Linked DNA regions of Ovis aries. The protein of the gene in region 1 interacts with the protein of each later gene in a pairwise test. Links are inferred from orthologs where the notes say so. Each region holds a gene or a part of one and is shown on either strand. Other genes may lie near its edges.

Region 1 (3,591 bases):
GCAGCGTAGCAGAAGCTTACCCTCTTCGTCCACGTGTCGTGGCTGGGGGTAGGCCTGGTGCGTGAGCGCTGTCAGTGGCAGAGGCTGGGAGGCTGCGCCCAGCGTGGCGACTCCACCGCGGCCCCAGCCCCACGTCGGGCCCCTCCGCCCAGCGCCCGTCCTCTCTCAGCCTCCATGGGGTCTGTGCTGCGATGACCCTGGGGCGTGGGCCGGCAGACACCGCGCTGCCACCTCTCCTCCCTGAGTCGAGCGGTGAGCGAAGCCTGAGCAGCAGTCTGAGGCCGCTGCTTTCGGAACTTCCCCGCCCTCTCCCCAGCGGCCCCCCGCCTCCCGCAGCCCGCCCGACCCCCGTGCCCCTGTGTCTCGGGTACCTTCCCGTCTGCGTAGTCAGTCCCCGCGTGCCTGGAGGCAGCCTGCAGGCTTCTCCGGACGCCTGCTTCGCTGTTGCCCATTGTCCTTGTTGCTCCCCTTTCCTCCCACGGGAGTCAGCGCGTGTCTGTCTGGACTTCCCGTCTCAGCTTGTGTGTCTGTCTGATCCATACCTGAATCAGCCGCTCTGTCTGTCCATGTGCAGGTCACCAGAGAGTTCCTGACATTTGAGGCTTTGGTTTTCTGTCCTCGGCACCCCATTCTTGCCCCTTGTAGTGTTGATTCAAGTGGCATGGCCTCCTCCCTCCTAGGGTCCCGGCCCTTGGGATAACTGCTCACCCAGGACCACCTTGGGAGCGCCTTGGGACAGTGGTGCTTGAGAATGGCCCCCGAGACGCCCTCCTCACGGACTGGACTTCCCCCATAGATTACACTCTGTCTCGACCTCCCGTCCTTCTTGAGGGGCCAGGGCAGCCATTGCTCTGAGCTTCGATGGCGCTGCCCTGACGTAGAGTTGACATGGCAGCCCGTGCATCCGTTCGGGTGTGGTTCCACGGTGGAGGCTGGACACACCCACACGGGCTGGGGGTGTGACTCTACGTAAGGCTGTCCCAGCCCCTGCTGAGCAGGGCAGAGGGCGCTCTGACCCCATCTGAGCGTCACCCGCTCAGACATCCACACAGCAGGGTCCAGAGGGTGCTTTGCACCAGGCCACCTGGGCTGAACTCAGCCGTGTCGGTCTACTCACCACTGGGCTCGGCCGGCAGTGAGGCTGCACCGCAGTGCCGTCCTGAGGCTCTGGGCAGTGGCTGTGTGGGCACCTGGCCAGCGAGAGCCACGGTGCCCACTGCCCCGTCTCGCAGAGAAGGCAGAGCAGTGGGGACCCTCTGTCTAAAGCGACACTCGCGTTCCAGGGTGGACCAGCCGCACCCAGTTTGAGGAGACATGGGCCACCCTCCTCGGCGTCCTGGTGACTCAGCCACTCGTGATGGAGCAGGAGGAGAGCCCCCAGGAAGTAAGGCTGCGCGCAGGGTCCAGGGCAGCACGCCCTTCCACCTGTCTCACCCGGGTGGTAAACGGGTGGCCAGTCACATCCTGGCCGGTGTTCCAAGGTCTGGGTGCTCTAGGATCATGGCCCAAAGGCGTTAACCACAGCGTGCTGCCTGCAGGCCGCAGGACTGTGTCCTTCCTTAAATGTATCTCACGTTCTGCTGCTCAGCATCCAGGTATGGTGTGTAGCAACGTTTCATCAAAAAGGAAAGGCGTGTCTTAGAGGCCACACGTGATAACTAGTGTTGATTTCTCTTGACTTGTTTTCCAAAAATTTTATGGGGCCTGGAGTGTTAGTGCATATTGTGGTACTTTAAGAAGACGTGCTCTGATACAGGAAAGCCTGAAACATTAAAAGCTGTCAGGTTCGCGTTCTTCAGATAGAAGGTGTGGTGTGAAGCGGCAGAAGTGGCGGTTCAGAGAGTGTGTGTGTCAGGCGTCACCAGGAGTGACGTTCGCCGGAGAGGAGCCAGCGGCTCGTCCTGTGCAGGGCCCCTAAAATCGGTGAGGAGATTGAGGACAGTTTCTTAAGAAGTAATTCATATTTGGAGCTTTGTGCTTGGAGGAAAGCTGGCTTGGAAAAGCAACCACTTGCCCATCAGATTTATCTCAAATCACAGATGTGTGTGGATTCTGGTGAATTTAGGCAGATGCTCCAGGACCCCCGCCGGGAAGGCACATCTGTCTGTCCGCTCGGGGCCCGTGCCTGTGAGGCCGCCTGGCTAGGCAGCCCCAGGGGAGGTAGTGTGCTGCGGTATGCGCCTTGGTAACCTGGGGCTCTCCTTCCAGGAGGATGTGGAGAGGACGCAGATCCACGTCCTGGCCGTGCAGGCCATCACCTCCTTGGTGCTGAGCGCGATGACCGTGCCCGTGGCCGGCAACCCGGCCGTGAGCTGCCTGGAGCAGCAGCCCCGGAACAAGCCCCTGAAGGCCCTCGACACCAGGTGGGCCCGGGAAGCACGTGCCCAGGGCACGGCCGCGTGGGAGCAGGGAGGCGCTGGGGCGCCCTCTCCTTTGCTGCCAGGGTGGTTTGGTGGCTGAGGCTGACGACCTGGCCTCTGGTGTCGGGGGCCGGCTCCAGTGGAGCTAAGGGGGCGCCTGTGCAGGGCCCGAGGGCCTTGGCTGCACCGTTTCCTGGCAGCGAAGCTGGGAGTCAGGGGGTTCACTTTGAAGATTTTGGAGGAGCTGGGTGCCGGTAACCTTTGCTCTGAACTTAGGTTTGGAAGGAAGCTGAGTGTCATCAGAGGGATTGTCGAGCAGGAGATCCAGGCAATGGTTTCCAGGAGAGAAAACGCCGCCACTCACCACCTGTACCAGGCGTGGGACCCCGTCCCGTCTCTAGCCCCAGCCACCACAGGTTCCAGGGGCTCGTGGGGGGGTGGGTTGCGTGGGGGTGTCAGCCGCTCCTTGTGCCCGTGAGCACGGCTGGACTGTCCCAGTGCCAGGGTGGGGGCTCGGTGGGCACCTTGTCAGCGACCACTAACACTCCAGCTTTTGCAGCTCAGCCCACAGCCAGTTCCCGTTCAGTCTGGTTTGTTATGGAGAAAAAGTGATAGTTCTCATCACCCTGCTGGTCCTGCAGCTTCATATGCTGTGCGGGGACGGACTCCCCACTGAGGGGGCACTCAGGGCTGTGCGGGACGGACTCCCCACTGAGGGGCACTCAGGGCTGTGCGGGGACAGACTCCCCACTGAGGGGGCACTCAGGGCTGTGCGGGGACGGACTCCCCACTGAGGGGGCACTCAGGGCTGTGCGGGGACGGACTCCCCACTGAGGGGGCACTCAGAGCTGTGCGGGGACGGACTCCCCACTCTGCGGGGACACTCATGCATCCTTGCCCTGCAGGTGCTCTCATCAGCCATGACAAGCTGCTGCTGCAGCTCAACCCTGAGCGTGAGCTGGGGGACATGAGCTACAAGCTTGGCCAGGTCAGTGCCCGGCAGGCGGCCAGCGGGGCCGGTTCCTCCCCACCCTCCCTCCAGAGCTAGCTGACTGTCCCCTGCGTGGGTAGGGGGCTTTGTTACATCATTCAGAAACACGGGCCCACACGTGTTGTCTGGTGAGAGGACCGGTTTAGAACAGAGATCCCACCTTCTGGTTCCATTTTGTGTCAAGACCTCACCCTGACGTCCTTCAGCAGCCAAGTTTCCTTTTTCTTTCTCAACGTTCCC
Region 2 (4,051 bases), on another chromosome or scaffold:
CATGGAAGACAAACCAACCAGCAGAGCAGTGAGAGACGCCGAGAGGAAGTCAGGCCAAGCAGGCCACATGCGCACAGCAGGCGGCCAGCTACCGACACAGGGGCCCTGACGGACACGACATCAGGACAGTGTGAACTCTGGCCCACAACACCCAGGAGATGGCGGGAAGGAGCTGTGTGCACATGAGCTGGCTGGGCGCAACCAAAGACGTCAGTCTTCACTTTCTGAAATAACTGAACAGCTAAAGTCTAAAACCAAAAGGAAATAAAGAAATGCAGCAAAAACGAGGTGCTCAGAAATAAGGAGTTAACACCAAAAGACCCAAAAGCAGGGTGTAAACTACACACAGAGTGTGAAAAGGGAAAATCTTTTAAAGAGAAGCTAACAAATACTTTAACTGCAAGGAGGGGATGAGGGTCATAAAGACGAAACGCAGGAGCACCAGGCACTCAGTTTGATTGCACAGACTTGGCACTCTGAGACGTCACCCCATGCCCGCAGCACCTCTGCCCCAGGTACCTGGAAGCGCAGCACCACCCCCAGGGTCCTGCCTTGGGGAGCTGCTCTCCCCACCCTGGCTGCACTGAAAGGCCTGCACCCACCTTCTGTCCTCTGGTCCAGCTCTCGCATCAGCTGGAAGTTCCTCTGAAGCTCACAGGGAAGGTTCTCGATACCTGAAACAGACACAGCAGGACAAAAGCTCACCTTTCCAGCCTCACAGCTCAAGGCCACAAGGGGTAAGCCCACTCTAGCTTCTGTTTGCTAGGGTTTGGAAACAAGAAGAATCAGGGTATCTTTTCCCAGCGACGTGCTCTAAACACTGAACACACCCTGGTACAAGCTGACGTGTTTGAGCACTTGTCAGAAACTCAAGAAGTTAGATTCAAACAGAGGACAGAGGGTGCCCATGCGCCTCTCCCACCCCAGACCCCAGGCCACTCCTCCCTTGCAGACACCCCGTCACAGCGAACCAGCCCAAACCCCAGGGTCCTCCTCCAACTCTACTCTGAACTTGGGGCATGGGGAAGTACCAACCGGGGCTGTGTGGGGGAACGTGATGCAAAGATGGAGCTGCCCAACACAGAGGCACTGGCCACGTGTTCTGGGCTACTTGAGCACCTGAAATGGGGCCAGTACCACAGACGGACTGAGTTTCCCATTTTATGAGAGTTTATTTAAAATTAAACAGACCAGGAAGGACAGCACAGGGAGGACCCTGCACCACACTGGTCTCCTGTCCCCACTGCCAGGCTCCTGGTCTGGGCCAAGCCCGGCCCCTGCCTGCAGCCAGGATGGGCCCCTCTCATCAAACAAAGCTGGTGCTTAAGCCCCATGGCGCCCTGGCTCAGCAGACACCGAGCGGACCCCTCAGAGCCTCTCTGTGGGACCCCGCCCCCCCGGGGTTCCTACTGCAGCAGTACCCCTGCACTCTGAGACATGCTAGACTCCTTCATGACCTTTAAACTCCTGTGTCCCATCTGAGAGCATGTCCCAGGAAAATTCCTGGTGCACAGCAGGTGCTTAGGGAGTGAGCAGGGGCTTCTGTCCCCAAGCCTTCACACGGGTGCCCGCAAAGGCCAGGATCATATTCCTCGGACTCTCCTCCTGGGCCCCACCAGGCAAGCACCAGGAAAGAGGACAAGCCACAGTGCCCCCCCTACAGGCACCTGGGTGCTCTCCCACCCAGGACCTGTGCTCAGGCTGGGCCAGGACTAGGTGATCCCCTGCGGATCACCACAGTCTTCCCCAGAGCAGAGGTTCAATCCCTACTCTCAACACCCTCAGGTGAGGGTCTGGGGGCTGTGATCCCCAGTACAGCACAGTGCTCTAGAGCCACGGGGCCCAACACCCACCAGCCCCACCCTCCCCAGGCCATGCCCCAGCGGAGGCCAGACAGGAGTCAGGACGAAGGACTCCCACGCGGGATCGCCGCTCTCCAGCAAGAGACCTTAACAAGCTACCTGGCTTCTGCAGGCGGCATCACCTGCTCTGTGAAATGTGGAGGAAAAAAGCCACCCGCTCAGGAGTTCTGCAGAGAGGGCAACATGTGCAATGCGTCGGGACATCTGGCCACGACGATGACCCCTGCCTTGAACACCCTAACCCCGGCCAGTAAGTAGCGCCCCCAGCCCCTGGGCTCGGACCGGTACCCTCAGTGACCCTCTGCGCCTGCATGCCTCGCAAATGCATGAAATGAGGCCTGGAACTGAGGCACAAGCTAAGTCACATCACAAGCAGGCACAGAACACCGAACTCCGAGGCCCTGGGCCCCCCAAACCCGACCCAGAGTCCCAGGCGATTGGGACTCAACCATCTTGGTGGGCCAGTCCCGCCCCCAAGGCGGGGCGGGGCTCGGAGGGGCGGGGCCTGACCAGAGGGGGCGGGTCCGACAGGGAAGAGAGCGGAGCCCAGCCGATAAGGGGCGGGGCCCCGCCCAGGAGGCCGTGTTCAAGGGCGGGGAGGGCGGGGCCTGCAGGAAGGTGGGCGTGGTCGCCTGGAAGGCGGCGCCGGCCGCGCGGGCCCCGCCCCTTGGCGCCGGCCCCGCCCCGCCGTGACGCACCTGGAATTGGCGCGGCCGTGCCGGCGGGGCCCGCGCCGCCCGCCCCGCGCCCCTCCCTCGCCGCCCCGCCCGCCCCGCGCGCCCCCGCCGCCCCCGCCGCCGCCCGGCCACCCCGCCGCCCCCGCGTGCCCCGGGGCCCGCGCGCGGAGCCCGGCGCTCGGGGAAGCGCGGCAGGGGCGGCGGGGCGCGGGCGGCGGGCTGGGGCGGCGCGCGGGGCGCTTACTGTCCAGGTAGTGCTCCAAGTACATGGCGGTCGCCATCTTCGTCCGCGGCCGCGCTCCGGGTCTGCGCGGGCGGCGGCGCCGCGAGGGCCGGGGGCGGGGCCGGCTAGTCACTATTAATGAGCCGCGCGCGCTGATTGGGCGCCGGCCGGGCGGGGCCCCCGCCTCGGCTTCCGGCCGGGCCGCGCGCGACCTCGCGCGGGGGCTGGGCGGGCTGGGCGGCCCTGGCGGGCGGGCGGGCCTGGTGCTCGGCCGGGGGGCCTGGTGCTCGGCCGGGGGGCCCGGGAGCGCGCCTAGCGCCTGGGGGGGGGCGACTTCCGGGGCGGGGGCCGGCGTGCTAAACCCCAGGCAGACATGTAAAAGGGGGAACGCGTTCACTGTTTTGCCAGCTTTACCTGCGTTATACAAACTCAGGCTGTACGGAGATGTACAGCTCCCCCACTCCCGGAGGCGCGGGCCTGCGATCGTCTTGCTCACCCTTCGATCCAAGTGATACCAATGTCTGTGCAACCACCCCCGCTCCATTTAATGCTTGGTGTGAGAATCACGCACACTCCAGTGCACTGTTGCACACCACCCCTGTTTTATTGTTTCGAGTAGATAAGTGTTCTTATTAATAGAATTTATTTTTAGAGCAGTTTTTGGCTCTCAGAAAAATTGACAAAAAAAATACAAGAGTTCTTATATACCCCTTCCACGCATACACAGTTTTCCTTATGAACATTTTCCATGGCTGGTGCACATTTATTACAATAGATGAAACAGTATTGATACATTATTATTAAGGTTTCCCTGCTAGCTCTGGTAAAGAACCCACCTGCCAACGCAGAAGACCCGCTTCGATCCCTGGGCCGAGAAGATCCCCTGCAGAAGGAAACGGCAACTCACTCCAGTATTCTTGCCATGGGATGACCCATGGACCAGAGGAGGCTGGCGGGTTCCACTACGTAGGGTCACAAAGGAGTCGGACGCAACTTAGCGACTAAACGACAAAAGGAAGTCACGTTCACATTAGGGTTCATTCTGTGCTGTGCATTTATGTCAAGCGGCACCCATTGCAGTATCAAGCGTAATAGTTGCTCTGCCCTAAGAATCAGCTGCTTCTGCCCTCTCCCTCCGGGGGAGCCCCTGGCGAACGCTAACCCCGCCCCTGCCTCCAGTTCTGCCTTCCTCAGAATGCCATGTGGTTGAAGTCAAAGAATGTGAGCCCCTTCAGATTAGCTTCTTCCACCTAGTAGGTGCATTCCAAGTCTCCTCCATTCCTTTTCCT

The links.
Region 2: the proteins of HTT (region 1) and ING5 interact in binary tests that used the Homo sapiens proteins (3 or more experiments, as listed by UniProt). The link is inferred for Ovis aries from reciprocal best matches to the Homo sapiens genes HTT and ING5.

What each region holds. Positions count from the first base shown.
Region 1 is NC_056059.1:116,335,132-116,338,722, reverse strand, and holds part of HTT (huntingtin), read left to right. Parts: intron 1-1,283; coding exon 1,284-1,384; intron 1,385-2,208; coding exon 2,209-2,363; intron 2,364-2,636; coding exon 2,637-2,776; intron 2,777-3,265; coding exon 3,266-3,348; intron 3,349-3,591.
Region 2 is NC_056054.1:252,187-256,237, forward strand, and holds the start of ING5 (inhibitor of growth protein 5), read right to left. Parts: upstream 2,850-4,051; 5' UTR 2,821-2,849; coding exon 2,784-2,820; intron 2,531-2,783; exon of another isoform or gene 1,962-2,530; intron 675-1,961; coding exon 603-674; intron 1-602. UniProt on the Homo sapiens protein: Component of the HBO1 complex, which specifically mediates acetylation of histone H3 at 'Lys-14' (H3K14ac) and, to a lower extent, acetylation of histone H4. Component of the MOZ/MORF complex which has a histone H3 acetyltransferase activity.